Linked DNA regions of Oryzias latipes. Each later gene encodes a partner of the first gene's protein in a complex. Links are inferred from orthologs where the notes say so. Each region holds a gene or a part of one and is shown in the gene's direction. Other genes may lie near its edges. The genes, in order: mfsd1 and glmp.

Region 1 (15,073 bases):
GATAAAGAACCTGTTAAAACAAAAAAACAAAAAAAACAACATTAGGATGCACTTCGGCTTCTATTGCACCTCCTGTTTGGTTGTCTTATTCTAATGTTTCTTTGCAAAGACAACTTGACAAACACTTTATCAGGCACAAGATAAATGCTGTAACGTAGCCTAAAATGTTTTTACATTTTTGGGGACTTGGTTGATATTCTGAAAATGAATCAATTATTGGTACAATTTTCCACTGGTTGATATTTTTTTGTATGTTATGGGATGTTTCTAAGATTGTGACCAACATCTTTGGCACTTTAGTATTTAGTAACTCATATTTATCTGAGCCCTGTGTTTGGTTTGACAGGAGCACTTCACTAATCATTTGCGTGTGGTTTTGATTTTTTGCTGATGGAGGCTGTAATATTTCTGTTCTTTTTAAAATTGTTTATCTTTCAACGAACCACAAAGGAGAAGATGAACGGCACCTCGCTTAACGAGTCCTTCAAGTGTGAAAAGGACAATCGTGTGACAGCAGTGGTGTTCCCATGCCTGTACAGTATCCTTTTCATCGTGGCTCTTGTTCTGAATTCTATGGCTGCGTGGGTCTTCTTTAAGATCCCAAACAACTCGACATTTGTGGTCTATCTGAAGAATGTGGTAAGCCACCGCCACAGGGAACCCAAATGTCAAGGCAGATACAGAAATCACGTGCTTTTTCTGCACAACAGGTTGTGGCCGATTTGCTGATGACCCTGACCATTCCGGTGAAGATCTTGAGTGACGCAGGAGTGGGGCAGCTGCGTACTTTTTACTGCCGATACTCTGCTGTTCTCTTCTACATCACCATGTACATCAGCATCCTGCTGCTGGGCCTCATCAGTCTGGACCGCTACCTAAAAATCGTCAGGCCCTTTGGGAAGTGTGTCCTCCAGCGGGTTTGTGTTGGCCAGCTGCTGTGTGCAGCTGTTTGGGTGCTGATGCTGTGTTTGGCACTCCCCAACGTCATTCTCAGTAATAAGGAGCCACGTATCTTGGGAAACAAACTCAAGTGCTCCTCCATGAAGAGCGAAGCTGGCCTATATTGGCATGAAAGATTCAACTACTTCTGTCAGGTAACTAGTTAATGAAAAAGTTATAATATATTGTGTAGATTTTCAACCAGTTTGTAGTTTTATCAGTTTTGTGATTCCACAATTGAAGGCACAACAAAACATGAAGACCATAAACTGCTTTATAGTCAATAGCTGCATTATTTTAAAGACAAAAAACAGCATATAAAGAAATATGAATGTGTCAAACACGAAGACCCCCTTCATTTGAATGGTGAGAAAGTAGAAATTATATATTTTGACTAAATTTTAAATGCTTAATTAAGTCTTTTAGACATCTGTTGTTGGTTGTTCCTAATTTTCTTCTCTAATTTGATATAACACTTTTTCATAATTGAGCATCATTTACAGCTGAAAAAAATGTAAAGACCCACTCCAATGAAAATAATGTTTTTGGTGTTTTTAATGTGTTATTGTAGCATTTTCCTTATGATGAGGAGATGTAAAAAGAAAATGAAGATTAAAATATAAGGTTTGATAGTTCACATACAACTCGCCGTTTTTATTGCACCTCTAATGCTAGCTTGGGCTTGTGAGGGGCTGTTAGCTAGCAGAAGAGAGTGTAAACAAAGAGATGATAGGAAATTAGGGCAGGCTTTCCTCGACACAGCAGTGTCCCACTCCCACACACACACAAATCGAAGTTCTGATGAACTGCTGCCGCTCTACACAAATTATGTCCAAAAAACAACAGTTTTTTTTTTTTAAATGTTGCCTAAAACAGCATAATTATAATTAAAACACCTCTGGTAACACTTTTAATATAGATCAAAAGATTATTGGAGTATCACTATAACCACATCGAGTGCCTCATTAAATGTTGTTTTGGTTTTCAGGTTGTCTTTTTTGGGACACTTGCCTTGATGGTGGTTTGCTACACCTTCATCAGCAAGAAGGTGTATGAGTCGTACAAAGCCTCAAAGAGCAAGTCCCAAGCAGCCCGTCGCAGAACCAAAGCAAAAGTCTTTGTAGTGGTGGGGGTGTTTGTCATCTGCTTTGCCCCTTTTCATATGGCCCGCGTACCATATACTCTGACTCAAACCAGGGACCTGAGGATTGATTGTCATGCAAAGAATGCACTATACATTGCAAAGGAAACCACCCTGTGGCTGTCTGCCACCAATGTCTGCTTGGATCCACTTATTTACGTTTTCTTGTGCAAGGTGTTCCGGAAAAGACTGACAAATACAATCTGTAAAGCCACCTTGGAATCTCCAACAGCAACGTCGACACAGATGCAGATGTTACCAATCAACCACACTTCTACACTGTCACACAACGGAGTATCACAGTTACCATCTGAACACAGTGAATAACTGTACATGACTGAGCTTGATTAGCATGATAGACTGTTTGCTGTAAACAAAGTTTGTAAGTCTTGTAAAAATTCCAAAAATAAAAAATGAGCTCATTGGATTTAGAGGAATTTAGAGGATGAAAGAAAAAGGGAAAGCATTCTGCAGTTGTCGTTCCTTTTCATGATTTCTATTTTGGTTCCGAGGAAGTGCTTTTGTCCACTGTTTGTTAACTCATCAAAACACGTTTCCTTGATTTGCTTACTGTCAATTTGAACATCCTGCCCTCTAATCTTGTACAATATGCGTTTCTCCTTTGCAAGACTTTGGGTACAGAGTGACCATCTTGACACAAGCAATTTCCCTCTGATTACCTCTGACTGACGGGAAATGACTAAGCAAAGAAACACAAGGCTGCAAGTGAAGCTGTTGAAACGTCTGTAAATATTTAAATATTTTTAAATGTATTTTTACCATTGTTAATAATAAGTTCTATTTTCCTTCTCCAGCTAAAATTGTATTATAGTAATTTTCAGATTTTAAATTTGCTCTCATTTTAATAAATAGTCATTACTAAACATTTAGAGTGGTTTTACATTTGTATGCAGGGGAACCACATAAATCAGACTGGAAGTTTAAATCAAATGTAAGACAAAAAGAAAGTGAAAAAATAAACATGAAAGCAAAAAACTGTGTTTTGTTTTTTTTGACAAATGTTGCAGCTCAGTAGCGCTGGGGCACAGATAATCAAAGCAAGTATTCAAAAACGTTCTTTGTATGTTACTTAGATACAACATTCTTTCATAGATACAAAAATTGCATTCTAAAAAAAAAGAAGAAAAAAAAACATGCATTCAATCTTCCTAAAAGATAGACTGATATGTGCTTAGTAAAACAATTTAAACTCAAGAAGAAATATTAAAACAAATTGTAAATTTAATTATGTATCAATCAGAAATATAAATGTTTATTTACATAGCAAAAGTATAAACAGATATCTTAGTTATTCCAATTTTATGAATTATTTGTTTATATATATATATATAATTTCTGATGAGCACGGTTTGGATGGGCACGCGGGAGCTGTCCAGTGCTGAAAATCATTCCAAAGCCTGCAGTGATCATCGAGAGAGGAACAAAGCTCTATACACTTGCGTGTATCAGGAGATTCGCAAGGTTTGTGGTTATTGTAAAAGTAACTATTTTACACTATACCATACTAAAGAAGACGGAAAAGAACTATAATTCAAGAAATATTAACTCTGGTAGTTTATAAAATGCACACTGATGTCCCACTTGTCCTGCTTTTTTGCGGTCGCTGTGCCGGTCCATTGTGGTGAAGAGAGAGCTGAGTCAGAAAGAAAAGCTCTCAATTTACCAGTCGATTTTTGTCCGGAGACTCACCTATATGGTAATGAGCTTTGGGTCATGTCTGAAAAAACCAGCTCCTATATATAAGGAGCCAAAATGAGCTGGCTCGGTCATCTAGAGAGAGCTCGGAATAGGACCGCATCATGAGGAGCCAGTTGAGGTAGCTCAGGCATCCGGCCAAGTCCTACTGGGCGGAGATGCTGGATATCGAAAGTCCCCCCCAGAGGAGCTAGAGAAAGTGGCCAGGGGAGAGATGTTGGAACGCAGATGCGTGAAAGAGAATGGATTAGAAATTGGATCGTCCATAATGAAAATACATTATGTATTTGATAATTCAATAAAACAACATTTCAATTCCTCATCTGTTTTCATTTTTTTTTAAATAACTTTATAGAATTTTAATTTGTTGTGGTCTTCTTGCACAAAATACAAAAAGAATTTGCAAAAAAACAAAAGGTTGACCAAAAGGCTTTTACAATAGAATTAGATTTTGACAAAATATCACAAACATTAGCGTTTGTAAGTGAGTGTAAGTTATTAGAAACTGCAACAACATTAACCAGATGGGCAAAATTTATCAGGGCACAGGTGCCCGCAACATTTCCCACAAATGCACTGCGAACGGTGACACCACCACAGTACCACCGGGTGCCTGCTCTGCTTTGCTTCAGTGGGGTGGTGACGCTGTGGGTGGATGAGCACAGGCTGTCATCAATATGGCCCATACTAGATTCACCTCCTGCTAAAACAAAAAAAGTAGAATTGTTTGCAGCAACATTGGTGCTAAACACGGATTTTTCTTTTCTTTTGGTGTTTGATTGGTGCAAACACTTTGTCCCAAAGTGCACATTCAGTTTTCATGGTTAATTTACTCATCATTTCAATTATACATGCTACATGTAATTCAGGGGGTGGAGCAGCTATTTTGAGTTAAGGCCTGGGACCCATGCATGCAATGCAATCAGACTTCATGGGCCTCCCAGCCTATACTGCTAAGAGTCACCTATGGACAAATTTCATACCTAGAGTTACTTGCTGTACGTTAAGGACTTTCACTTCACTAAATCGTGTCAACGGGCTCATAGTTTACATAGTCTGAGGGCTTGTCTTTGGTAGAGGCTTCGGTGTTTCATTATTTTGATTCAAAATACTATAAGATGGGGATCACAATCACAATTATCAGGGCTAACAAAGAAGTTATGGTTCCTTGAAAACTGCAAGGCCAAATATTTCTTTTCTTGTCTTTTTTTTTGTTTTTTTAAACGGGCTCCACGTTGTGTCTGCTCAGTTCAAGTCTGCAAGTCCTTTCAGGTCTCTCCCTAAGTACTGCGCGGCTGGGTCTGCAGCTCACCGCTCCCCCAGGGGATGGGTCAAATGCGGAGAACTAATTTCACACACCTAGGTGTGTGACAGATAATGTGATTTAATTAATTTTTAATGTATGTGCTTCACCGGTTTGAGACGTAAGGGACACTAAACATCCTGTCCCCCTTTGTAGCCAGACTTAGGCCTTGTCTGCAGCAGTGGGTAACCCTTTAGGAAACTTACAGAGTTCAGGATGAGACAGGTGGATCCAGCTTTGTCAATGAGCTATTTTTATCACTGTTGGTGTGGTCAGTAGTACTTGGTAGGAGCCTTTAGGATGACACCAGGTCTTAAGCCTAATAACAGGGGAGTCAGGCATGTGGTTACTCTTTTTAATTCTTTTGTTTTGTAACATTTTATTCATGTATTCCACTAATATTATACTATTTTTATTTGTAGTAAATACCACTGTGACAAGTGCATAGTTTGTAACTTTGATTTATTTTTATTTTTCATTATTATGACTTTTTATCTCATAATGGTGACTTTTGGTCACAAAAGTTTGACTATTATTTATTAATTTTGTTTTTCATCTCACAATTTAGCCCTTTTTGATAGGTAGGGTTTTTTTTATTTTATAAACGTTATTTTAAATGCCATAAATTATACTTTTGATCTCATTATTATGAATACTAATCCTAATAATTTTGACTTTTTTTCTTAGAAGCCTAAAGGATGACTTTAAAAAAAACGAAAGGAATAAGTAAACTTTTTTTTTTTGTGAATGAATATTACGCTGAATATTGTTTAAGTTTTGACCTTTTGTCCTAATCATGGTTGTATGTTGTAAAGCTGCTTAAACAGTGAGCGCGCGCCTTTGAACGCGCCTGGAAGGCACGCGCGTACAGATGCCACGTGACTCACTCGCCGTGCTGGGTCACATGATCGGTCGCTCCTCACCAAACAGTCGAACATGGCGGACTTCGTGGAGCGGCAGAACTTGTTGGAGGACGATGAAAGCTCCCCCGCGGAGCGGCGCTCAGCCTCAGGAGACGACAGACCGATGTCCGCCATCTGCGACCCCAGCCGCCTTCCCCACCGGGCGGTCGTTCTGGTTTTCATGTGCTTCCTGGGATTCGGTGAGCTGGAAACACCTTCCACCAAACCGGTTTGACGACTGGGAGGATTTTGGGATTACAGCTGCTGGGCGCTCCGAATTGTTGCTTATTGCTGTTTGTCGATCGATGTTAGCAGAAATGGTTAACAAAAAGGCTCTTATGTGTTTCTTGGTAAATCATTTGAATATATTTTTTTTCAGGAAGCTATTTTTGTTATGATAATCCCGCCGCACTTCAAACCCAAGTCATCCAGGCAAGTTGAAGAAGTGAAACTGTTTTTTCTTGTTGTTTTTTTTTTTTTTTTTACACAAAAATGATCTTATCTGACATTTTTAAACATATTATACAGATTGGATGGTTACAAAATCCCTGGATTACACGCTTTTAAACTTAGATTACTTCCAAACTTTTTGTACAAAGAGATAAAAACTCAAACGTTCAGTTATGTTTTTCACTTTTTTGTAAACATCTGGTTTCCTCTTGAAACAAACCATACCGTCTCTCTGAGTTTTTCTGATGCAAATGGGATGCATACTCTTATTGTCCTTTGCTGTCATGCAGCTTGCTGATTTGAGAAATAATAAGACGGAGAACCAGTCCTGACTATAATGTTTTCCTCCTGTCTCCAGGACTTGAACCTGAACACTGCAAAGTTCATGCAGCTGTACGCCTGGTACTCCTGGCCAAATGTTGTCCTCTGCTTCTTTGGGGGATTTCTGCTCGACAGGGTTTTTGGAATCAGGTATAAAACCAAGCTGCATGTTTACTTATTCCTTCCAGATGTTTGTGTAAGTGTTCCTTAAATGTCTGCCATGCTGATCATCTGCATTGTTTTGCTGATGTCCCCCCTTAGACTGGGAACTATCATCTTCTCCCTCTTTGTCTGCGTTGGACAGGTAGGGTTTGAAACGTTCCGCACATCAGATACTTGATAAAACTTAATTTCTTTTGCTATTTTTTTTAATTTGTTTAAAAAAACAAAAGTATTTGAACTTCTTCACAGGTAATTTTTGCTGCTGGAGCTTGGTATGATCTCTTCTGGCTGATGGAACTTGGACGTTTTGTTTTTGGGTAACCCCATCAGCCTATCAAAAGACATTTTTTATTAAAGTTCCACTCCAACAATAATTTTATACCTTGAGAAAGCGGTCTTTTAATTATTAATATAACGTTATGAGCCAAAATCAAGAACCCTTTGTCTTTTTTCTTAAGACATATTTTCTGCAGAGCGGCAGGAGTTCATAGGACATTTGCCTCTGATTTGAGGGGGGGGACTGTTGGTGCGGAAGTCAGCCTCCACTGATATCCCATCATCCCTTTGTTTACACTCTCTTCTGCTATCTTACAAACCCAACCTAACATTACCAGTGTAACAAAAGTGATGTTTTTTACCTCACAGTAAGGAGGCCCCCGCTTCAAGCCCCGGGTGGGGGACCTGAAACAGAACATCAATGGGGAACCTTTCAGTTTGGAGTTTGCATGTTCTCCCCGTGCATGTGTGGGTTCTCTCCGGGGTCTCCGGCTTCCTCCCACCGTCCAAAAACATGCCCCATAGATTAATTGGTTACTCTAAATTGTCCATAGGTGTGATTGTGTGTTCATGGGTGTGTGATTTGTGGCCCTGCGACGGACTGGCGACCTCTCCAGGACGTCCCATGCCTTCGCCCACCAGCGGCCGGGATTGGCTCCGGCAAAACGGGTTTAGAAGATGAATGAATAATTGTAGACTTTTATTTTGTTGTTTTATTTTTTCTGTTTTACTGATCCAAAAAATGATCTGAACCGTGACTCTAAAACCGTGACACGATCTGAAACGTGAGTTTTGTGAAGCGTTGCACCCTTAATCAGAGCGATCCAACTGTACAGTTTTGAGCCAGATTGCAGCTCAGACGTTGATGGATCTATTTGTCTACAAGTGGATGCATCAGAATGGAGCGGAGCAGGGAGACTTTCAGTTCCTACGTCACACCTGAGAGCTTTTTCAAACAGAATCGGCTCCCGATTCACCCCGATTTGAATAAAGAAATGCCCAGAAATGCAGTTTTAAGCTTAAATTCTTTGACATATTTACTCGATCATGAGAAAAACGCGACAAGAACATGTTAAAAACACCCTTTTCATTGGAGTGGGTCTTTAAGCTAAACAAGAAGAGTCTCTAAACCTTTTAGGAACACATGTCTAACTATGTCTTACATTCTTTATTTATTTCTTCATCTCTTCAACAGCATTGGAGGCGAGTCGCTGGCTGTTGCCCAGAATACATATGCAGTCAATTGGTTTAAAGGCAAAGAACTCAACCTTGTGTTTGGCTTGCAGCTGAGCATGGCTCGACTGGTACGGATTTAAGAAAAACAACAACGTAATTTCAATTTTTGTTTTTACGAGCTGACACAATGTGTATCTTTTTCCCTGATACATGTAGGGCAGCACAGTCAATATGAACATTATGGGCTGGGTGTACAACAAAGTTGCAGTTGTCGTTGGTTCACCTGGACCCACTACGCTTGGTGCATCACTCATGATAGGTATGTGACACACACCTGCCAAAACTCCATGCTTCAACACTAGTCTAAAATCATGAAGTGAGATTCTAGCTGCCTTTTGCTGCCTCCGTGCTGGAAACACTAGATCCTTTCCCTGCAAGTGCTGATCTCAGATTACACAGCCAGCAAAGAGAAGTAAGAAAGAGAACCAAAAGTGCAGCTCGCTACCTCAAAAAGAGTCACAAGGACAAGGAGAAGTGTCGGTTCAATTTTATTTCTTACTACGTGCAAAGAACTGCAACCATTTCTGCAGATCTTGCAGTAGTCTTAGTTTATGATATGTTTGTCCTGCTCCTGTGTTCTTAAAACTGCACTTTGACCATCTCAGACAAACGCACAAAGACAATTGTGTCAGCTAACACAAATCCAACATGCTGGGATAATCTTATCATTCTGAAAAAAGGGTCAATTGTTTGTTTGTTTGTTTTGAACTAATTTATCTTTTTCTTTTTCTCTTACTAGCTGCAGTGACCTGCCTCTTTTCTTTAGTCTGTGCATTGGTGTTGGGATTCCTGGATAAGAGAGCAGAAAGAATCCTTCACAAAGAAGAAGGAAAAACAGGTAACATGAGAAGTTGCCCTCCATCAACCTCTTTCCACTTTGACGCACCCATCAAAGATCACTAGAGGGTCCTGCAATATCAATGAAACATGCAGAGATTTCAAGGCCTTGCATTTTTTTCTGACCTCATTTAGAGCGCTGAATTCCAAGAGTTTCTTGTGATTATTTGCAAGTAAGTGTTGTTTCAAACCAATCTCACTCTGCCTTTTAGGCGAGGTGATCAAGCTGACCGATGTGAAAGATTTCCCACTCACGCTGTGGCTCGTCTTCATCATCTGCGTGGGTTACTATGTTGCCATTTTCCCTTTTATTGGACTGGGCCAGTAAGTAGTCTGTCAATTCTGTGACTCATACACAGCCATAACTCTTCCTCATTATTGCTGCAGTGTCTTTGCATTACTTAAGGCTGACAGTCCGAGCGATGCGTCGTTAGTTCCACTTCTATAGCTCAGGAAATAGGGTGATTAAGTAGGATGTCCAGTGCTTTGTCTAATGCATGAGACGCTTAAAAAAAATAGAAGATAAAAAAAAAAAGTGAAACTGTATGTACGGAAGTGAAGTGCTTGTGTGATGCAGTGCACAGACAACGCAATGCCAATGGGAACCAGAACCAATACGAAGAAGATTGAGTTACTCTAGCAACTCAATTTGCTCTCTTTTTCTGATCATATCTGTGCAAGTATATGCTGTGAACCGTTATCGTATTTTGACTTTCAGAGTATTCTTCATTGAAAAATTCAACTTCTCTCCAGCTGAAGCCAGAGCTGTCAACAGGTAGCTCACATTTCTTTTGGAATTAAATCTGCATTGTGGACTGTAGTATTTTTTAAGTATTTTTGTGGCTTTTTTTTTTTTAACTTTCTTTTCTTTTTTCTCAGCCCGTTTGAACCCAATTGCTTTACATTTAAGGAATAGTGAATCTTTGCATGATTTCAAAAGCATACATTTTGGCTGATGTGGCATATTTTTCCCAGTATTGTGTACATCATCTCAGCGCCTGCATCTCCCGTCCTGGGCTTCGTGGTTGATAAGACGGGCAGGAACGTGGTTTGGGTGATGATGGCCGTGGTTGCAACGCTTGCGGCTCACATGATGCTGGCCTTTACCTTCTGGAACCCATGGATTGCCATGGTAACTAAAGAAAGCAGAAATATGTGCTGTACTTTAGTGAACTATTGCACAGTAGAGTCGGGCGTGAAAGTTAGTACCTTTAGTCAAGCCATCATTTATATTTTTTAAATCTTGATGTCAGCCTTACCTGGTTTTATCAACCCCTAATTTCTGTTTTCTAAAGAAAATTGTTGATTAAGGATGCATTTGTCAAAAGTTACGACAAACAAGATCCAACTTTTCCTTTCAATTTTTAACCCTAGAAGAATTCTGTTAAATCCTTTCTTTTATCCAAATCTAGTTCAGGAGGGAATAAAATCTTTACAGCTGTGAAGATGCACGGGATCAGATGCTGGCAAAATTCTTTTTGTCTGTCTGAAACTCTTAGCTATGAAATATAAACTTTTCAATGAATTCAATAAGGAGAGATCTTGGGTATAGGAACAATAAAGATGTATTTGTGATACAAACATGTAGTTCATGGTCTTTTGGCAGTTAGAATCTGGGCAAATGACGTCTTTATTCTGAATGGATAGGCTCAGATGAGTAAAGCCCAGAGCCTAGACACCAATGGTGGTTGAGGCCAGTCCATGAGTGTTGGTCATGGTGGAGAATGGAGCACAGAGTAAACATCCATGAATTTCAATCAGAAATATGATTGTGATTGGCTGGGAAAAGAAGGCGGGGAATCTTGCTACTGGTTTAGAGTGAAGGTTTAATTGATGAGTAAGTGACAGATTACCTGGGAGTGAGGTAGGTCTTCTTTATTTTGTTTGGTTTGAGTTTACTGTGAAATGCAAAGTTTGCTTTTATAGCTTAAACTTCTGAATCATTTTTCCAAAACTTTTTTCTTTTTTGCTTATGTGGTTGTTGTTCTTTTAATGCATAGAGAGGGGTTTTTAAAATTGGCCTTTTATTTTAAGTCCTGAAACCAGAGGGAAAAGTCGATCCAGCAAGCTTTTCATTACGTTTATACCAAAATTTGATATGTTTTGTAGTTTTTGCTGTGACTAAAACAGATTTCCGAGGATTGTTTTTGGAACATGATGGCAGATGAATCATCATATCCCCTTGTCTTCCAGTCTCTGCTTGGTGTGTCGTACTCCTTGCTGGCTTGTGCTCTGTGGCCCATGGTGGCCTTTATGGTGCCTGAACATCAGCTGGGAACAGCCTATGGCTTGTACGTACATGTTTCAGTTGCTTAATAATATTTATTTTTCTTGGCTTGGACATCTCTTTGTTCATATAACTGTTACTTGTCTTGCTGCATTTTTGCCTGGCAGCATGCAGTCCATCCAGAACCTGGGCCTGGCTCTCATTGCCATGGCAGCCGGCGCCATCCTGGACTCCAGAGGCTATCTGGTTTTGGAGGTCTTTTTTTGCGCCTGCATTTGCAGTCAGTATTTTTATCTCTCTTTTCTGCTTGTCTTCTAAATATTCCGTTTTACCAAACTTACCTGGCACTTTTGAGCAACAATGTGGATTTCTTCTCCCTTTATATCCCAGTTGCATTGATCGCTGTGGTGATGCTGTACTTTGTGGATTACGTCAAAGGTAAGAACTTTATCGTCCTGGACTCTCCTGCTTTATTTCTTGTTTTCGCCTCTCTTTTTCCTCTCTACCCTCCCCTTTTACTACCCTGCACGTCTTTAGCTCCCTCTACACTCAGACAAATGCATTTCATAATCCTTTTGTTTGTCTGTCTTGCTCCAGGCGGGGATTTGAATCAGTCGGCTGCAGCCAGAGCCAAACTCCAGAAAGAAGCCACGTCGGATGCGGAGTGAGTAGCATTCATCCTTCATCTTTCATAACTTTTTTTCCAAACAGCTTAGCCAAAAAAATGATCTTCCCATTTAATCAACTATCATCATTTAAGGAGCTACAAAGGTCTTTGTTAGTGAATCTAGTCTCACTGAAGCAGGAAGTGTCTTTAGCTGTACTACTTTTTCAGTAATATTGAGATTATCAGTTATATAATAACAAATTATAAGGTAATGCCAATACTTCTTGAAAAACTTTCAATACTTGAAAATCTTGTGTTTTATAGTTGATGGCCTGATATGATAAATAGTTGATTTTGTCACATATTGAGAAATAAGTGTGACTGTGAGTGTCATTATTTTCCAGTTTGTGTTTTCTTTTCTTAAAGGAAAGAAAGCGGGTTAAATAAGGTCCACAAATTCTGCCAAAATTCGAAATTTGATCAAAATATTTCCTAACTGAGAGGGAAAGTGTCCACTGCAACAGACTTCAACTCAGGTTGTGGATATGAAAGAAACCACAGTGGCTAAAAAAACAAACAACAACTGCTCCTATGTGGCGTTTATGTGGTGATTGCCACCTAATATTAGCATCTGGAATCACATTTTTGGGAGGGATTTAACAAAACTCAGAAAAAATCAGTGTGATAACTATAATGCAACTCCATCTAACTATTTAAACTCGGTTCACCCTTCTGATTTTTATTCATTAAAAAAGAGTAAAATCTTGTTGGTGGAGGGAAAACTGAACGTTTGTGACTGTGTTAAATGAAAATGTTTTTCATCTAAGATTTCTTTATGCTCATTTTGTTTTCAAGTTTATTCCATCTTTTGCAACATGAGCTGCTGGTACTAACGTGTAAGATCGAGCATGAGTTGAAGGAAAAACCGGATTAATTGCAACTTGATGCTGTCAAACTCTTCTCTGTTTCATCTTGACCTTTTTAGTGCATCGACTGAAACCTTGGCCTTCATTTCATTTCACCCGTAGAGCTGGCTGCATGTCGGCCCAAGCACCTGTGGTTGTTATTTAGATCAGTCTCTTTTTATACAAACCACACCAGTTCTCTTTCTGGGCATGATGGCTTTCTGTTCTTCTTTGCATGAGATTTCTCAGAAGTTGCATCCATTTCGAAATCCTCAAGCTTATTAATTGCATGTTTTTTGGTGACTTACCAGTACTAATTTATTTTTGGTCCATGCTGTAATTGATATTTTCCAGATGATGATGATGATGATGGTGAACGAACACACATGGTCCTGGGTTTCAGAGCCAGGAGCCTGCACTGTCCCCCCCAGGACTGCGGGACTGACTCCGCCCAGTGATGTCATCTGTGGTTTTTCGCTCCAGAACTGACTGTCTGGATTGGCTGTTCCGTAACCCAGTGTCTTAAACTGACAAATGACCAAAACCCGCTTTGGACTCCAGTTTACACCGACTGTTTCTGGGCTCAAACTGACTGTCAAACTGCTTCATGATGACACTTCTTGACAGATGAAACAAAGTCGGGATTCTTAATGTAACTTTGACCCTTTTTGTATCCAGAAGGACGGTGCATACATCCCAAATAAGTACTTGATTCATTGTGTTGTTGCACTTAAGATATAGGATTCCTATATCAGGTATTATATGTACACTTGCTGAACTGGTTCAGCTACTTATTATTTTTAACTGCATTATCAAATGATGCATGGCTGTAACACTCATGCTACTTTCACACCGGGTATTTGTGGAAGGCGCGGGCTGATTGTGGGTTTTTGTTTGCCCTTTTTAATGGTGTTAGTACATGTCTGACACTAGTACATGTACTAACAGTTAGAAGAAGCTTGGTGCGAAATGTCAAAGAAGTGCAAATCTTGTGAATTTTGCACCAGGCTTTTTCTTTCCCAGCTCTATTCCAATATATGAAAGACTTGATGTCATATAATTCTGGCACAAACCGCAGATATTAATTTCTCCCCCATGATCAATTCTCAAGTGTTTGGCACTTCCGTGTATTGAAAAGGACGCCATCCATACATCGCTGCCAAATCCATGTCCCTGATTGGTCAAAGTTAAACGGGTTTAACTTTTGACGCTTGCTCAATTACTGTGCGTTTTCTACATAGAGCCCAAACAAACTTGTGTAGCAACGCATGAATGCAAGAGTGGGCGCTCGAACGTGTGTGTCCGTGCCTGGTGTGAGGAATTTTTCAAATATTTTGTTCTAAGGCTTCCATTTAAATTCAGTTTTTACAAACGTGTTACTTTACCAAGCTCAGGGGAGGTCCGTGTAAAAGCACTCAAATGGTTATGGGCCGAAGAAACATAGTCGACGCACTTCGCTCAATTCTTTTAGGATTCCAGTAATGTTGCATATCTACAGTCATGTGGAAAACAAATCAGGACACGCGATCCGGTCTCGGATAAGTGGAGGAAGATGGATGGATGGATGGATGGATGTTTACAGCCCGTCTTAGGTCAGGAACTCTCCACTTCCTAGTTTTCAGCGGGTGCTTGGTTGGTTACGTTTGGGTTTTGCATCATGATTGTGTTTTTGGTCTATTTCCACTACCTCTTTACTTTCTGACAGAGGGTGTCATATCTGTCACATCCTCTGATATACAGCAAAATTCATGGCGGCATCCATAATTGTGGGCAGGAAGAAAGGACAAGGTACATTCAAAAAGCTGAGTAACAATTGACTAAACATTTGCAGTTTATGCTTGTAAGACTAAAGAGGAGGTTTATTGATGAAGTTAAGGAGGGCATGAGGGTGGTTGGTCTTCAGGAGGATAGAGTCAGATGAGGGAGGAGGATTCACGCAGGACTGATGCATCTGTGTTTCGAGTGACATTCAACGAGCGTCCCAACTAGAAGTACAACTATTTTTGTTAAATTACATTCGTAGATCTTTAAGTTTTTTTTTTTTGTTTTTT
Region 2 (14,975 bases), on another chromosome or scaffold:
CAGAACTGGACGATTTGTTTTAGCGAATATAGACATTTTTATTTCCCCATCTCTCTGCTCTCTCGCACTTCTGTTGTCTTGAGTAAAGTCGGCCCGCCGGTCTCTCGCACAGTGCAGATGTGAAAACAGCAGCAAGCAAAGAGGAGCTACTTCTTGCTGCTGGAAGTGCCCCCCCCCCTCCTAACTTGTGCTAGTTGCTTCAGTGAATCAGCTGAACATGTGACAATTTTTACCAGGATCCAGAAAGAACAGAACGTTTAATGAAAAGTGTTGATTTGAAGACAGCGGTGTCGTTACACACTGATGCTACGATGCTAAATGCTACGGTGCTATCATGCTATGATGCTGTGCTAAGGAGCTTTTCCGTGTGTCTCCTACATGTGATCACTGACCGGTTTGAAGTCAGACTATATTTTCAAGGAGCAAACTTTAAGACGTGGCGGATAAATCCAACAAAATTAACTTGTGGAACATTTAAAATATATATATTTTATAAATATAATGACAGACTGAAGCCAGTTTTTATGGAACTTTATTATTAGTGTCTTTGTAACGTTACAGAGGCGGAGTTGAGCTGGAAAAAGCCCCGCCTCCCCTCGTGAGAGCGCCGCGTCTTTACTGCCCATGGCAAGAATCCAAAACATGATCATCTTTTCAGTCTGTTTTTTTTATGATTCCATGTCAAAATGAATCAACTGGAGGCAGAATTAGGATTTTTTTTTTTTTTGTCGATCTGCTCCCCTTCAGTAAATCTGTCCTCGTTTTCTCAGCAGGTTTTTTTATTTGACCGTACAGTTGGTTCACCACAGGTGAAGACTGAAGACTGAAAGCCCTCTTCTCAGGGGGGCGATTTTCAGCAGGAAAACAGACACAACTCAACATTTCATAGACGGCGTGAAAACGGCAAAAGCAGAAGCAAAGATTGATTAAAAAAAATCAAAACGGAAGTTCCTCAGGAAAACATTTGTTTTTATCTGATGTTTTAATTATGTTGTCTTTCCATAAAATCATTTTTTAATATAACACCTATAGTTTTTCTTTCTAAAATATGGAATAATTTGGTTGGTAGAACTTTTTTTTTTTTCATTTATCAGCCAACTTGGCTGGTTAGTCAAAACTTAGATTTTGTTCTCTGGGTTTGTGACTTTAAACTTGGTGCATCAAACCAATCATTCATTCATCTTCTAAACCCGTTTTTGCCCCTTTCGGGGTCACGGGGCTGCTGGAGCCTATCCTGGCCACTCGTGGGTGAAGGCAGGGGACGTTATAGACAGGTCACCTGTCTGTCGCGGTGCCACAAATCAAACACCCACACAGACTCACATTCACACCTAGGTACAATTTAAAGTCACCAATTAACCTACGAAGAATGTTTTTGGGAGGAAGCCGGAGAAAACCCCCACATGCACGCACGGGGAGAACATGCGTCAAGCCACTCGCAGCAAAACAGTTTCAAGGCTGCTTCTACCAAATATGCTCTGCCGAGTGCGTTCTAGTATTTCTCTTTAGGAGGTGCTTAAGCTAGCGGTAGCTCCCAAAACATCTGCTGTATTGATTTCACAGTCAATGGAAACGCAGCCAGTGACAAATCTGTTTGATTTATGTAAAACAGAAGGAACATGAGCATTTTTGCTTTAAAAAAAAATTCTTGTATTTCTATGAACATATATAAAACAAATAAAATGAATAAATAAAAAACTAACATTATGATGGTAAATCTAATCAAAATCACCTTTGGTACAAAAACGTTTTACCTACTGCATGTAGGATGAAAACCCACCTTCCATCTCCTCTAGTCATCGTCCTGGTTCAACACAATGGTTTTCACAATACGAATGACTTTATTCACAAGTTCTAACAAAACACCAGTAAACAGCTAAAAACGATCGTTTTTTCTTTTCTTTTCCCATGATTCTCTAAAGTCACTGCCGCAAAACTCAATGCGGCTCATGAAACTACTGTAATATCAGTGCAAAGCTGCTTTTCTCAGAACCTGTTGGAATTGCATTAATTGGTTCAATTAGTTCAGAAAGGGTGTATCATATTCTGTCAATGGCAACAACTCCAGTCTTAAAGGGTTTAGTAATAGCATCCATAGTCTGGAGTGTTTTTGACTTTTTTTTTATTTATTTTTTTTTATAAATTGAATCCCTTATTCACATCAATTTCTTTCAAGACAGAACCATTTTTTTATTTTTGGTTGCAGGTGTAGTGGAGAAATGTATCCCGTTGAAATAATCTTTTTAATGAATATCACGGCTCAGGAGTAAATCTAAAGGCGTGTCTTAAAGAGTTGAACTTTCTGCAGCACTCCTGTGGACACATCAGATCGCTCCATGATGCTGAAGATCGTCAACTCTGCCATCAACACCAAGGCTCTATTCCGCTGGTCCGACCTGGCCTGCACCATCGCCCTGGACGCCGTCCGCACGGTGGAGCTGGAGGAGAATGGGCGCAAAGAAATCGACATCAAGAACTACGCCAAAGTAGAAAAGGTACTACCCTTGAATAACTTCATATCAAACAGGTGCGACTTTAAATGCGGTGAGTTACAAACGGCTTCCTCTGTGATCCTGCAGGTTCCGGGCGGGTTCATCGAGGACTCCTGTGTGCTGAAAGGCGTGATGATCAACAAGGACGTCACTCACCCCAAAATGAGACGGATGATCAAAAACCCCAGGATTGTGCTGCTGGACTGTTCTCTGGAGTACAAGAAAGGAGAGAGTCAGGTACAGTGCACTGGAGCTCGTGTCCTCAACGGCGCCGTGGTGCAGCGTTTGACCCGCCTGTTTGCCTCTAGACCGACATCGAGATCAGCAAGGAGGAGGACTTCTCCAGAATCCTGCAAATGGAAGAAGATTACATCCAGCAGATCTGTGAGGACATCGTCCGCCTCAAGCCAGACCTGATCTTCACTGAGAAGGGGATCTCAGGTTTGTCCACCTCAGAGCGGGAAGACATAGTCCACACAGAGGGATTGACAAATGTTCGAGTCCCACTTCGATTGTCTTTGGATCTGTTTTTAGGGAGTTCCCAGTGGTCTTTTAGTTAAGATTAGACTATTTCTAGCCAAAAAAATAAAAACGAGCACCGTTGGCAAAGAGCAACCCCGCCCACCTCTTCACTCCCAGTTACTGAAAGCTCTCAGCAGGGAGCTTCTACGTCACAAATACGATCTTTTTCAAGTGACCGTTTTATAATCTGCTCTCGATTCACAGCAATTTAAATTAAAAAAATGCTCAGAGATGCATATTTCAGACCAATTTTCTTGTTATATGTCCATCATCATCGGAAAAATGCCACAAGAACATGTTCAAAACACCATCGGAGTGGGATTTAAATACATTTGTTAAAATCGTCCATCCGTCTTGAAAATATTTGAAATAATTGGTTTAATTCTGACTTCTGGTCGTCTCAGATCTGGCCCAGCACTACCTGGTTAAAGCAAATATCACTGCAATTCGCCGCGTGAGGAAGACTGACAACAACCGCATCGCCAGGTACTTCGATTTCCGTCTTCTATCAGCGAACACGTCTGCAACGTGTCTGAACTCACCTGTTTGTTTGTTTTTCAGGGCCTGTGGAGCTCGCATTGTGAGCCGGACGGACGAGCTGCGTGAGGAGGATGTCGGCCTGGGAGCCGGACTGTTTGAGGTGAAGAAGATCGGAGACGAGTATTTCACCTTCATCACTGAGTGCAAAGATCCCAAAGCCTGCACCATCCTGCTGAGAGGAGCCAGCAAGGAGATCCTGGCGGTGAGGACACCACTGGCACGCAAAAGTTCCGATCGACCCGATTCATTCGCTTGGAGTTCACTCGCTCTGCTTCGGTTTACAGGAGGTGGAAAGGAACCTGCAGGACGCCATGCAAGTGTGCCGCAACGTGCTGCTCGACCCATTCCTGCTGCCCGGCGGGGGTGCGGTGGAGATGGCTGTGTCGAAGCGTCTGACGGAACGCTCGCGGGCCCTGACGGGGATTGAACAGTGGCCGTACCGGGCCGTGGCGCAGGCGCTGGAGGTCATCCCTCGGACGCTGATCCAGAACTGCGGAGCCTCCACTATCAGAGTGTTGACATCACTTCGGGTACAGAAAACACAAAATATCAACATCCTGTTGTTCCTTATGGCTTCGGGAGTTATATTTTTTTTATTTAAAAATTTTAAAAAAATTATATTTTTGGTTCAGGCGAAGCACACACAAGAAGGAAATGTGGGCTGGGGCATCAACGGGGAGAGCGGCTGTCTGACCGACATGTCAACTCTGGGAATCTGGGAGCCGCTGGCCGTCAAAGCTCAGACCTACAAGACGGCGGTTGAGGTAAGAGCGATCGGCGTGATGTTCGCCGATCGACAATGATGACCTCCGCCCTCACTGACGGGTCTGGGTTACGTTTTGCAGACCGCCATCTTGCTGCTGCGCATCGACGACATCGTTTCTGGTCACAAGAAGAAGGACAAGGCGGATGGCCAAGGAGCCGAGTAGATCCTCTGACGTCGACATTTCAACAGCCCAGTTGTGTGTGTGTGTGCGCATTTGTATGTGTGTGTGTGGGGACCAGGCGACTCACTTAAACTTAATAAACACAAAGTTAAGAGCTGGTTTCATTTTTGTGGTTGAAGATGTTTTTTTTTACAAGTTTGTGAATAGTTTGATCATACAAAACTTGGCTCATTGGATGATGTTTAATTGAGACACGTACATTAAGAGACAAAATATAAAAAGAATATACAAGAAATATCAGAAAAGCCTTAGAAATTCTCACCTCCTAGACCAAATTTATTACTGTTCCCTCAAATGAGAACACTTTCAGTTTTTATATCCATGCACACATCTAACTTCACAAATAAATGAATATACCCATAATCATTTAAAAACAAACACTCATTTGATTCCATGTAAATCTTAATCCCCAAATTTATAATCATAAATATTTAGATTTATTTTTATTTGTAAATGTTTATTAATATTTCCACATTTGTTCTTAAACTCCTTTATGTTTTTGGACAAGTGTAAGCTGGTTCTGCTCCACAGCCTAGGATTGCATTTTAGATTAATTACAGAATGTTAAAGGCAAACTTGATTTGTCAAATGAAAGAGTGGAATTTAATTATTCACTAATTCGTAAAAAAAAAAAAAAAAAAAAAAGGCCATCAAGGTTCTATATAGCATCATAAATAAGTTTTATGCTATTATTTAATATAGGCTAAGATCAAATACCCCAAGTTAAATAAAAATGTAATAATATAAACAGCTATAGGCTATAATATAATTTAAAAAATCTCTCCAAACACGATTTTGTTAACTCTAAGAAGCCAGTCAGATTTTTAGTTCATTTATTACTGAACTATTCACAAAAAGTTGTGTTCAAAAGAAAACGTATTTACATTTTTTTTATGACAGGGCAACCATTAGAAATATTTAAAAATGCGAAAGATAAAAGTTTTAGTTTTTCCCATCTCATATCAGAACTGCTGATTTGTCTAAATCTGTCACCGGAAATGATAAATTGTATTATTTTCATCTAGGTTTAGAGTATAGTTTTGTTTTTGATTGCCCAATACATGCTAACAATAATATGTAATCCAAATTCCCCGAATATTTTCGGTATGTGGGAAAAAAAAAGTCAAAACTCATTATTTATGACTGTTTCTTTAAGAAGGCTGGAGGGGGCGGGGCTTCTTAACGCTCAGCTGACATGAAGTGGAGGGTCATGTGACTCAACGCAGAACTTTCACAACAGTTATGGCGGCTGCAGGGACAATGATAGGCAACAGAGTTTTTGTTGTTTTGCTTATTTTACGGTTAAGTTTTTGCCCGTGTTTAGTTGGCGGGACAAACGAATATAAAAGACAGGTAAGACAGTAAAGCGTACCCGGAAGTTCTTTAATTTAGACCCTAATGTTCGACAAAAACCACGAAAAATAAACAGGAAGTGAAAGTTTTGATTACATTATCATATATCATGGCAAAAATGCCACTAATTCACGCCTAGAAATCGAAGTTTTCCTTTTGTGATATTCTTAGTTATATCAATTCATTTGTAGTTTTCAGCAATTTCTTCTATTGTTTGTGCTCTTTCATTTTGATTGCAGATTGAATGATTGGTTTTCCGAAAATATAACTTTGATCCTGATGTATTATTTTCATATGGCGATGTCCCTTAAAACTTGTTTTTTTGTACGCTTTAGTAATCAAAATTTTTATTCAAATGTTTTACTACCTTTCTTTCCTTGTTGTTTACTTTAAATGACGCTGATTAAAAAACGTTTTACCGTCTAAATGACCATTTGTAAATTCACCTTATAAGTTAAAAGGCTTTTGTTCTTTGCAAAAAAAGTTGCCATGTTTATTGCATTTTATCAGCTGAGATAATTTGCCTAAATAATTCTGAAATAATATTCAAAATAAGCTTGAATAAATATATTATAATTATCTTCGTTTGTAGTTAAGAAAATCAATAAAGGACTTTTACTTCGAAAATATTTGCTTTTTTTTTAGTTCTTGTATCCTTCAGGCTTTGTGAATATCACAGTCACGTGAAAATGTAAACTACTGTGAGATAAAATCTCTCAATCAGGATGGTTTACTTTGTGTTTATTTTCTGTGTCATAACAAAATTCAAATTACCCGATAAAATTCTATATTGAAGCAGACATGAATCTGCTGCATTTTCATTAATCTGCAGACAATCTTTTTGATTTTTCTCACCTGTGCTTATTCAGTTGACCCTGCAGTTGAACCCAAACTCAACATCAGTGCCACCTGGTGGTGACTTGCTGCATGTGCGAGCTGTGGGAGATAACGACACGCTGCATTTCCTGTGGTGCAGCCAGGGGGCGCCAACGTTGCTGATAGTTCACACCAACACAAGCAACTCTTTAGTTCAGGTTTGACAGTAGTGTATTTTTTTATGAAGTATTTGTAGTATTAATGATTAAATTAATGAACAAAAAATATACTTTCTATTTTTTCTTTCATCAAATCTCTACAAAATAGCAATTTCTTCACATTTTGATGCACAACTAAACAGTAAATTCTGTTTAGCAGCATTTGCATTCACTATAATCTGTAATTATTTAAATATATATATTTTTCTGTTTAATGAGAATTTACTTAAATGTATATTTGGGAGATAAATAATTTTTCTTTCAGTCATTAATGAAGCTATGATTATCCCTTGTGCTATCCTATGGGGTCCAGATGACCCAATTCTTACATTGACGTGTTCTCCCTACCATGACAGAGGTGGATACAGGTGAAGAGGATTTCATGTAATCCATGGACACCAGTGAAGATCACAAATCATTGAAGAAAAAAGGTTTAGCGCACTGTGTAGTGGGTCTAGATGACCCCAGTTCCAATGTCAAGTGCCTATGATTGCACAAGGGTTACAAGTTTTAAGAGGAATTGAACATCATAATAAGGTGTGTTTAATCTGCATTCATTTTTCGGTGCATTAGGTGAACTGGACTCAGTTTTTGAGCCGTAACGTCAGCGGTGGCCTCAGTGTGGAGCCGCAGAGCAGCATCCAGTACAGCATCGCCGTGGTTTTCAGTCGGGTCAGTTGGGAAATTCTGCTAGCTCAGGTCTCCATGGAAACGTTGGGTTTGCTTCATAAATCTGTTGTGTCCCTCAGCTGCTGGAGTATGACGACGCGAATGACACCGCCATGCCAGATTCCGACTTCTTCCCTCCTTACGAGCTCCAGAACCTGAACTGGAACCGCCTGGAACTATTCGACGCCAAAGCTCGGCTGTGCGGAGAAACCCCCGAGTTCGGGAACGGATCCCTCTGCCTGACGGTTTGAGGACACTTTTTAATTTCTATGTTAACAAAACTTAGAGAAGTATTCATTAATGTTTTGATGAATCGTTCCCTGCAGTTGTCTGTCTTTGACTCCGACGGGCGTGCAGAGTCTTGGCCCCGCCTCCTGCACTCAGCTAACTCCTCCCAGCTTGAGGTTTGGCTGCATGGTATCATGCCACGGTCGGCAAACTCTAGGTTCTTGCTGGAGATGCAGGCGGTGGGCGGAGACTTCCCTCTGAGCAGAGTGGATGTCCGCCAGTTCATTGACGACGAGTTCACGCCGTCAATTTTTAAGGTGACGTACCGGAGGAAACGTCAAACGTCAGAGTCGGAACCAAACATGGACAGCCTGTTCCCTTCACCCGTCAGGTGTCTCAGTGGGTGTCTCCTGTGAAGGGCGGCTCAGACGTGTCGGGTTACGTCCAGTGGAAGCCGGTGGCGTACCGCCAGTCCAACCCAGCCCTGGAGGACGCCACGCCATGCCGCTACTCGGACCCCCAGACTCAGGACGGAAACGCCACGGCAGCTTCTTCCGCCCTCATCCAAGCTTTCTTCTCCCAACCCAACATCACGGGGCTGAACGTGAGCTTTGGCCTGGCAGGAGAACCGTTCTACAACAGCACCAGGTTCCTCAGCTGGTGGGTTCCCTTCTGGTCAACCTTTAACCACGGGTCAGGGTCAGACGACAAACGCATCTTCTGTTTCAGGACGATGCTGGTGGGTGTCGGAGCTCCTCCCGTTGACACCTTCTCTCCGATTGTCCTCGCCATCATGGCCGTGGGTCTTGGGACTCCCATGATCCTCTTGCTGGTGGGCGGAGCCTTGGTTTGCCTCCATAAGAGGAGGCACGGCTCCCCGGCAACCTACCAGCCAATCAACTGATGGATGGAAGGACAGAGACTCTTTTAGAAATGGTTTAAAGACATTTTCTTGCGGGATTCATATTCCAGACTTTAGTCTCTAACCTGGAATAAGCAGAAAGCACCAGCAGGATAGTCTGACCTAAAAAGGATTATGGAACTTTAGGATCAAACTCTTAAATTTAAGGCAGTTTTTTGTGTTTGAATCGGAAATATTTGCCATTTAAAAATAATATATATATTTTTTTCTGTAAGATTTACGTTCTTGGTCAGCCGCTTGCTGATATTTTATTTTATTAGGAGGATTTGTTGCATTTTTTATATAATTAGATGCATTTATACAAACGTTCAGGGAGTTTTGATGATTAATTGTGCCAGTGTTTGTTTGCCAAGTGTTCTAGTTTGGCCATTACAAGTTCAAATTATCTTTTTTTTTTTGTTGTTGCCAAGGATCGAGGTTTATCAAAAACCATTTGATGATTTGAAAGCTGCCCAGCAGCTGATTGGCTCATATATTGTCTAAATAAATCGCTGAAAAATCTGTTTTTTTTGTTACTCTCAGACACATTTGTCCTGCTGGTTAGACAATTATTTTTTTGTTAAAGATAGATTTTCTTACACTAACGTTTTTATTTCAGCTGTAGTTTAGGTCATTTATCCTTCAACGAATAAGCAAAAAGAAGAAGCCAAGTCTGATAAACAAATGAAAGAGACATTTTAGGCTAAATTGTGTCCAAACTGGTAAAAGTATTTAGAAGTTAAGCCTCCCTCGTATTAAGTTATCAAGATATTTGTTTTGAGCTGCTGAGAAAAACAGGAAAAACCATTGAAATTAGCAAATACAAAATATTTGTAGAATTTTTGTGCTTAAAATCAGAATAAGTGCTTTTTTGCTACTTTACAAGGCAAAATAAAACCAAAGATTGACTTTCTGCCTTTTCTCAGTTCCCTTTTTTTTCATAAATCAGAATATTTTTCATTCCATTAACACAAAATTACATAAAACATGTATTTTCAGGTAATTGTCATCGAATTTCAGCTAAATAGGATCCATACATTTGAGCAACACAACCTTTTGTTTGTAAAACACCTGCAGAGACGTTTGACCTTCAGCTCTTGTAAGAATAATTTCGACAAAATGTTAATAAAGGCAAAAATACATTTAAAAGAAAACTTTTGGATTTAAAATAAAAGCTTAAATCAGAACAGAAACAAGGTGGTGGTTCTTCATTTCATAGTCACGTCCTGATTAAACTTAACCCGTCAGCCAATAACACCATCAGTGATCAATAAGTTGTTGACCGCATTCATTCATAAACAGTTTAATGGTGTGCAAACTCCGCCCACTTTCACAACAGCTCAGGTTTACAGCTTTTTTCCTTTAAGAACACCATTTTAAAATCATTATTTAAGGGTCAGAAATCTCAAGTTTCAGAATCCAAACATCGATTTCACTAAGTAACAAACCGTGTTTCTTTTTTTATTTTTTTTAATAAGCAGGAAGACATTTTTCTGTCTTATTTTAGCACAAAGTTGACCCCGAAAGTCCATCAGGCTGGGAGACGGTTGACGCAGAAGTTTCATTTGGTGTTTTGAAAGACAGCAAATACTGGATGAGACCTCATACAGGAATTTAAGGTGGACGATACAAGTAACTCCAACGGATGAAGCTGAAAGCGTCTGAGGATCCTGCAACAGTTCGCCATCCCATCGTCCAAATCTGCGTCTTTAAAGTCAACGTGAACAGCGTTTTGTCTTTCTGTCTCCGGTCATTGTTGCACACCTTCTGCTAAAAATACTGAGGAGAATTTAAAAAAAAAAAAAACAGTGGAGCAGCTCTCGAAGTCCTAGATGGATTCAATCTGCCGTCGGACTTTTTCAGAGGCCCGCCGATCGAGCTGGCGCTGACGGACGACCACGAGAGCCGCGAAGAAAGCTGTCAGCGCCATGGTGGCGGCTTCAAACTTCCAGAAGAGATGCTCCTCCATCGAAGCAGATCGACAACTGAAAAGAAGAAGACGGTTCATTCCTTAATCGTGAATAAATGAATCTAATCTTTTGGATGATTTCAGTTTCGTTTGTTTTTAATTATGCAAATGATCATTAACAGTTTAGATTTCAGAGTAAAAGCTGAGAGATTCATGCATTTTATCAGCTAGAGATTTTAAAGGATGATTTAAAACGGGAGTCTGCAACCTTCAACACTTAAAGACATCCGGGTTGATTTCTCAATGACCATAACCACCGCAGATGGGGGAAAAATGAGACACTGCTTTGTAGTTATGTTGTTTTTACTGTTATGATAATAATAAATGTACCTTTTTTTGGCATATACAGAACATAAAAGGAAAATTTCCTTTTTATCTAAATAATAAATTCTTTATAAGTTTTGATCTAGGTTTACATGACTTCCTTTCAAAATAAAAAGACATCCTGTATCACAGAATTATTTCAATCCAGGACAAACAAACTATAAACAGTTTACTTTACCATTTGTGGTGCATCTCAGTCAGAAATTTGTAAATCTAACAAACCAATTTTAAATTAGAGGTAATTACCGCCCCTGACCAAATTTCTCGGGGCATAAACAACTTCAAATCCTTGAAATTTTTTCAAAAGATTTCTAAAAAAGGTTTCTGAAAAACATTTTTTTCTTCAAGTAGATTGCCACAGTTGAGGGCTAAAAGATCCACTTGGAGCTCCAGAGTCTCAGATTGCAAACGTGGTTCCAGTAAGAATCCAGAACTGACCTTTTGTAGTCTTCCCTGCTGGATTTAGTGCAATTGATCCTCTCGACATATCCTGTTTGTTTGCATGCAAACTGTGTTTTCTAGAAAAACATACAAAAAACGATCGCTTTAGTAGAATTTCCATATAGAGTACACGTGTTAGAATCCCAACATGATCCGATGCTTTTAAATTATAAGTGTTGCAGATACAATAAATGGTAGAACAACATTTCTTTCAGTTTGATATAATATTATTAACATATGGGTCAAAAAAATCCAGCTGTATTCAATTCAAATAACTTACAGAGTGGAAGTCGCTGCAGGGTACGCACTCGTCCACCACGACAAACTCCTCCATGAGCCAGCAGGGAGTGGCCACGGGCTTCACTGCTGCCGCAGAGAACAATGCAACCATTTTCAGCGTTACATCATGAAACAAACAGTTATGGGTGACAAACATGGCTTAGCTTTACCTGCAGTTTTCTCTTCGTTAAGCAGCGCTGCTCCAAACACTCTAAAACCAAAACAACATGAGAAACAGTTAAGGCTACTGATGGACTGAATTTAAAGTTTAAATACAGTAAAAGTCTTCTATATTACTTTCAATCCACATTTGTTTTCTTCTGAATCAGATTCACCACAATCTGAGTAACAATTTACAAGGATAGTTCTCTATTTTAGCGGCTGTGTTTTCCCCCTATAAGCGTAAACCTCAACCTCAGATGAGACGCAGTTACCTCATCAGTTTGCCCTCTGACCCCAGCACACAGACTAACCTGAGAGACACCAGGCCCCAGAAAAGAGCGTGAAGGAGGAGGAACCGCGGCCGACAACAAGCAACCGGGATCCGACAGTCGCTCTCCATCAGTCTGCTTCTCCAGCTGGGTGGGACCACAGCCACCCTGAGTCTTCGCTTTGGGTCAGTGGTCTGTCCGGACTGGTTCTGGGCCTGCGAGCCCTTCTTTGGTTCACAGATGGGGTCCTGTTTGTCTGCTTACATGATGGTCAGACTGGGGGAATCGTTTTAAGGTAGCAGGAAGTTTACACCTGAAAGATGAAACAGTTCTGTCAATCAGTAAGTGATTATTGCATACAAATTATATTTTGGAATATATAACGTATTAAGATATAAAAGGTGAAGACAAACAGAGAAGTTAACAATAACAACCAGTCATTGATCCACCAAACTGGCTAACCCCCAAAACGGTAAATCCAGTTAACTTAATGTCATAAATGGAAACACACAAATTAGAGTCAACAAAAGACAAAATAACGTCATGTTTTCGAGATAGAAATCAATTTAATCTTTACAGACAACAGTCGTCTACTTACTACACTGTCTGGTTAGTAACCAACTAAGCTAGGCTAATATTAGCTCAGTTTAGCTAAACTCCGTCCACTCACCGTAATCCACTAAATCAACCGACATTCCGGAAGCTAGGAGACGTTTACAACAAGAAACTTGTTTATAACGAGCCGAGACTGAAACTAGTCGATAAATCTGATCCGCTTTGGTGGTTAAATGCAAAAACTGCCACCGGACCTGTTTACGGCCTCACGTCGATACAAAGACGTCACAAAACACAGGAAACTCTTCTGGTGTGGTTCTTTCAAAACAAGAGCACGTAAAGTCCTCCCTGGTGAGAAATGACTCACGTGTATAGTTTTGTCATAAACCAGTTAAAATTTTATTTTATTCTTATACATAAAAATAAACATATTTATCATTTGGGATTGCTCAAAAAACAACCAGAACAAGTTGCATAGTTTCATCATAAGAGTTTTCCTCCAAATAGTTCAAGGACTAAGTCAGTTGTTATTCGTAACCAGAATTTTTTTAATGAACAGTGTAAAATTTATCATTAGTTTGCGTCAGATTATACATTACTATCATAAATATTATTATTAATTTTTAGCCTAAAACAGCTAGAGCTATTTATTTTGAAATTCAGACACTTCCGCTGGCGGAAACTGTAAGGATTTTGTACGTATAAGATTTAATATACATGATAATTTATGCCCCGTATGTACAAACCATATTGAAACTCAAAAGTACCTCTTTCATGATTGTAATTTGGTTAAAATCTTCTGGAATGACTTATATGGGTGGCTTTCAACAAAGAAACTTAACCCCAACAATTTTATACCTGAACATTCAATTTGGGTGTATCAAAAGGTGTATCATATGTCTATGTTTTATTTATTACTTATAACCCTGTTTTATGATTTGATATTGTTTTCATCTGCTGCTTAGACTTTGTTCTAGTTTTCTATTTGTAAAGGCTAAACTGCCTTATGTTTTGGGATTGGAATGTTCCAAATGGAAAAAATGCGGTGTAATTCTGAATGATGTCAATTAAAAAAAAAAGGAATGTTGGCGGACGTTAAAGAGGCAGCCAGTAGTTTCATTCACAAGAAGAGACGATTCTCAAACATCAAACCATTTATTAATACATAACGAGATTTGTTTATATTTTAAATCAGTATAGTTTAGGAAAAACAAATATGCACAATAACTGTCCACTTTCATTTTATCAAAGTTCTAATGAAAAAAACATTATATTGTAAATCATCCACAGAGGGATACTGTGTATTTCAGCCTGTATCACCTCAGTTAACTGAAAGACTCACATGATCAAAAGTTAACCCGTGATTCAGAAATGACTAAACCTAAGATAACTAGTTAACCTAACAAGGTTTGTATCAACAAGGTATACACATGTAAACACTCACTTTTTATTTTAAACCGATAACCCTTTTGATTTCTGTATAAACACTTTCAATTAGCAAAATTTTCACTATGCGTCATTGTAAGTGACATTGTTAAGGGAATTCTGAGTATTTTATCATTTTGTCTTTAATTGTTTTAAGTCCACAAAGCCCTTTGCGTTAATGTTTTATGAAAAGTGTTTTATAAATAAAGTTTGATTTGATTTAAGAAACAATAATGAAAAGCTACATCATTTTTTTCTCGGTTTGGTTTATTAGTTCATTTCAAGCAATCAAAACAAGTAATCAAAAACCAACAACAACATAAAAATAAACAAATAAAAAAAAACAAGATTTATCAAACCTAATTCATTATAAAGCCATAAAAAAAACGGTATTCCTCTTGTTGAAAAACAAGTTATTGCATTTCCACACAGCTAAAAAGAAAAATTGCCTTTAGTATAACAGAAATGTCACATTTTTAAAATTATTTTTTATTTAGAGGCTGTGGAGAAAGAAATGTGAACACTTGGAATGCCGAGGGCAGCGACACACCTGTCCAGGTGAAATTTTCTGTCTTCTGTTCAAACTCCGACCCCAACAAAATTTCTCCATGTTGCACTGCAAAGGAAATATCTGTCAGATCTGATATGAAAGACAAAAAAAGGCAATAAAAACATTGCTAATCTCTACCAGGAGTGTGACTCTTCTTCTCTTCAGACGTCGACAGAGTCCAGGAAGCCGCAAGAAACCATTCTTCTTTACAGATGTGACAATGTTCAACCCAGACTTCACAGACACATTTTCCTAAAAAAAAAAGATAAAAATTTCATCATTTTATGGTTCTTTAGAGATGTTAAGATTTTAATC

The links.
Region 2: the proteins of mfsd1 (region 1) and glmp are in contact, whole or in part, in a cryo-EM structure (PDB 8R8Q), measured with the Mus musculus proteins. The link is inferred for Oryzias latipes from reciprocal best matches to the Homo sapiens genes MFSD1 and GLMP. Residues at the interface, in NP_080089.1 of Mus musculus: Val288, Glu292, Lys293, Arg295, Phe349, Phe351, Leu411, Asp412, Lys414, Gly415, Tyr416, Leu417, Leu418, Val421, Ile424, Ser428, Leu432, Val435, Leu439; in NP_064387.1 of Mus musculus: Glu250, Asn252, Ser253, Ile254, Asp255, Asp256, Glu257, Pro260, Ala261, Phe263, Gln264, Arg292, Phe364, Leu367, Val368, Ile371, Met372, Ala375, Ala378, Leu381, Met382, Gly385, Phe389.

The regions. Positions count from the first base shown.
Region 1 is NC_019871.2:13,134,145-13,149,217, forward strand, and holds the start of mfsd1 (major facilitator superfamily domain-containing protein 1), read left to right. Parts: upstream 1-5,979; 5' UTR 5,980-6,035; coding exon 6,036-6,201; intron 6,202-6,380; coding exon 6,381-6,433; intron 6,434-6,809; coding exon 6,810-6,922; intron 6,923-7,033; coding exon 7,034-7,076; intron 7,077-7,183; coding exon 7,184-7,251; intron 7,252-8,405; coding exon 8,406-8,514; intron 8,515-8,602; coding exon 8,603-8,705; intron 8,706-9,185; coding exon 9,186-9,284; intron 9,285-9,495; coding exon 9,496-9,607; intron 9,608-10,001; coding exon 10,002-10,058; intron 10,059-10,258; coding exon 10,259-10,415; intron 10,416-11,476; coding exon 11,477-11,574; intron 11,575-11,677; coding exon 11,678-11,790; intron 11,791-11,900; coding exon 11,901-11,948; intron 11,949-12,107; coding exon 12,108-12,174; intron 12,175-12,972; coding exon of another isoform or gene 12,973-13,051; exon of another isoform or gene 13,052-13,361; intron 13,362-13,376; coding exon of another isoform or gene 13,377-13,383; exon of another isoform or gene 13,384-15,073. Other genes in the region: P2Y purinoceptor 12, read left to right, coding at 391-639, 711-1,094, 1,928-2,407. UniProt on the Homo sapiens protein: Lysosomal dipeptide uniporter that selectively exports lysine, arginine or histidine-containing dipeptides with a net positive charge from the lysosome lumen into the cytosol.
Region 2 is NC_019869.2:4,734,447-4,749,421, forward strand, and holds glmp (glycosylated lysosomal membrane protein), read left to right. Parts: upstream 1-5,565; 5' UTR 5,566-5,743; coding exon 5,744-5,854; intron 5,855-6,723; coding exon 6,724-6,888; intron 6,889-7,461; coding exon 7,462-7,560; intron 7,561-7,637; coding exon 7,638-7,802; intron 7,803-7,883; coding exon 7,884-8,102; intron 8,103-8,176; coding exon 8,177-8,445; intron 8,446-8,514; coding exon 8,515-8,689; 3' UTR 8,690-9,599; downstream 9,600-14,975. Other genes in the region: cct3 (T-complex protein 1 subunit gamma), read left to right, coding at 2,309-2,495, 2,580-2,729, 2,801-2,933, 3,419-3,500, 3,576-3,756, 3,839-4,084, 4,187-4,318, 4,400-4,483; protein JTB, read right to left, coding at 10,515-10,671, 11,418-11,497, 11,701-11,786, 11,870-11,910, 12,173-12,261. UniProt on the Homo sapiens protein: Required to protect lysosomal transporter MFSD1 from lysosomal proteolysis and for MFSD1 lysosomal localization.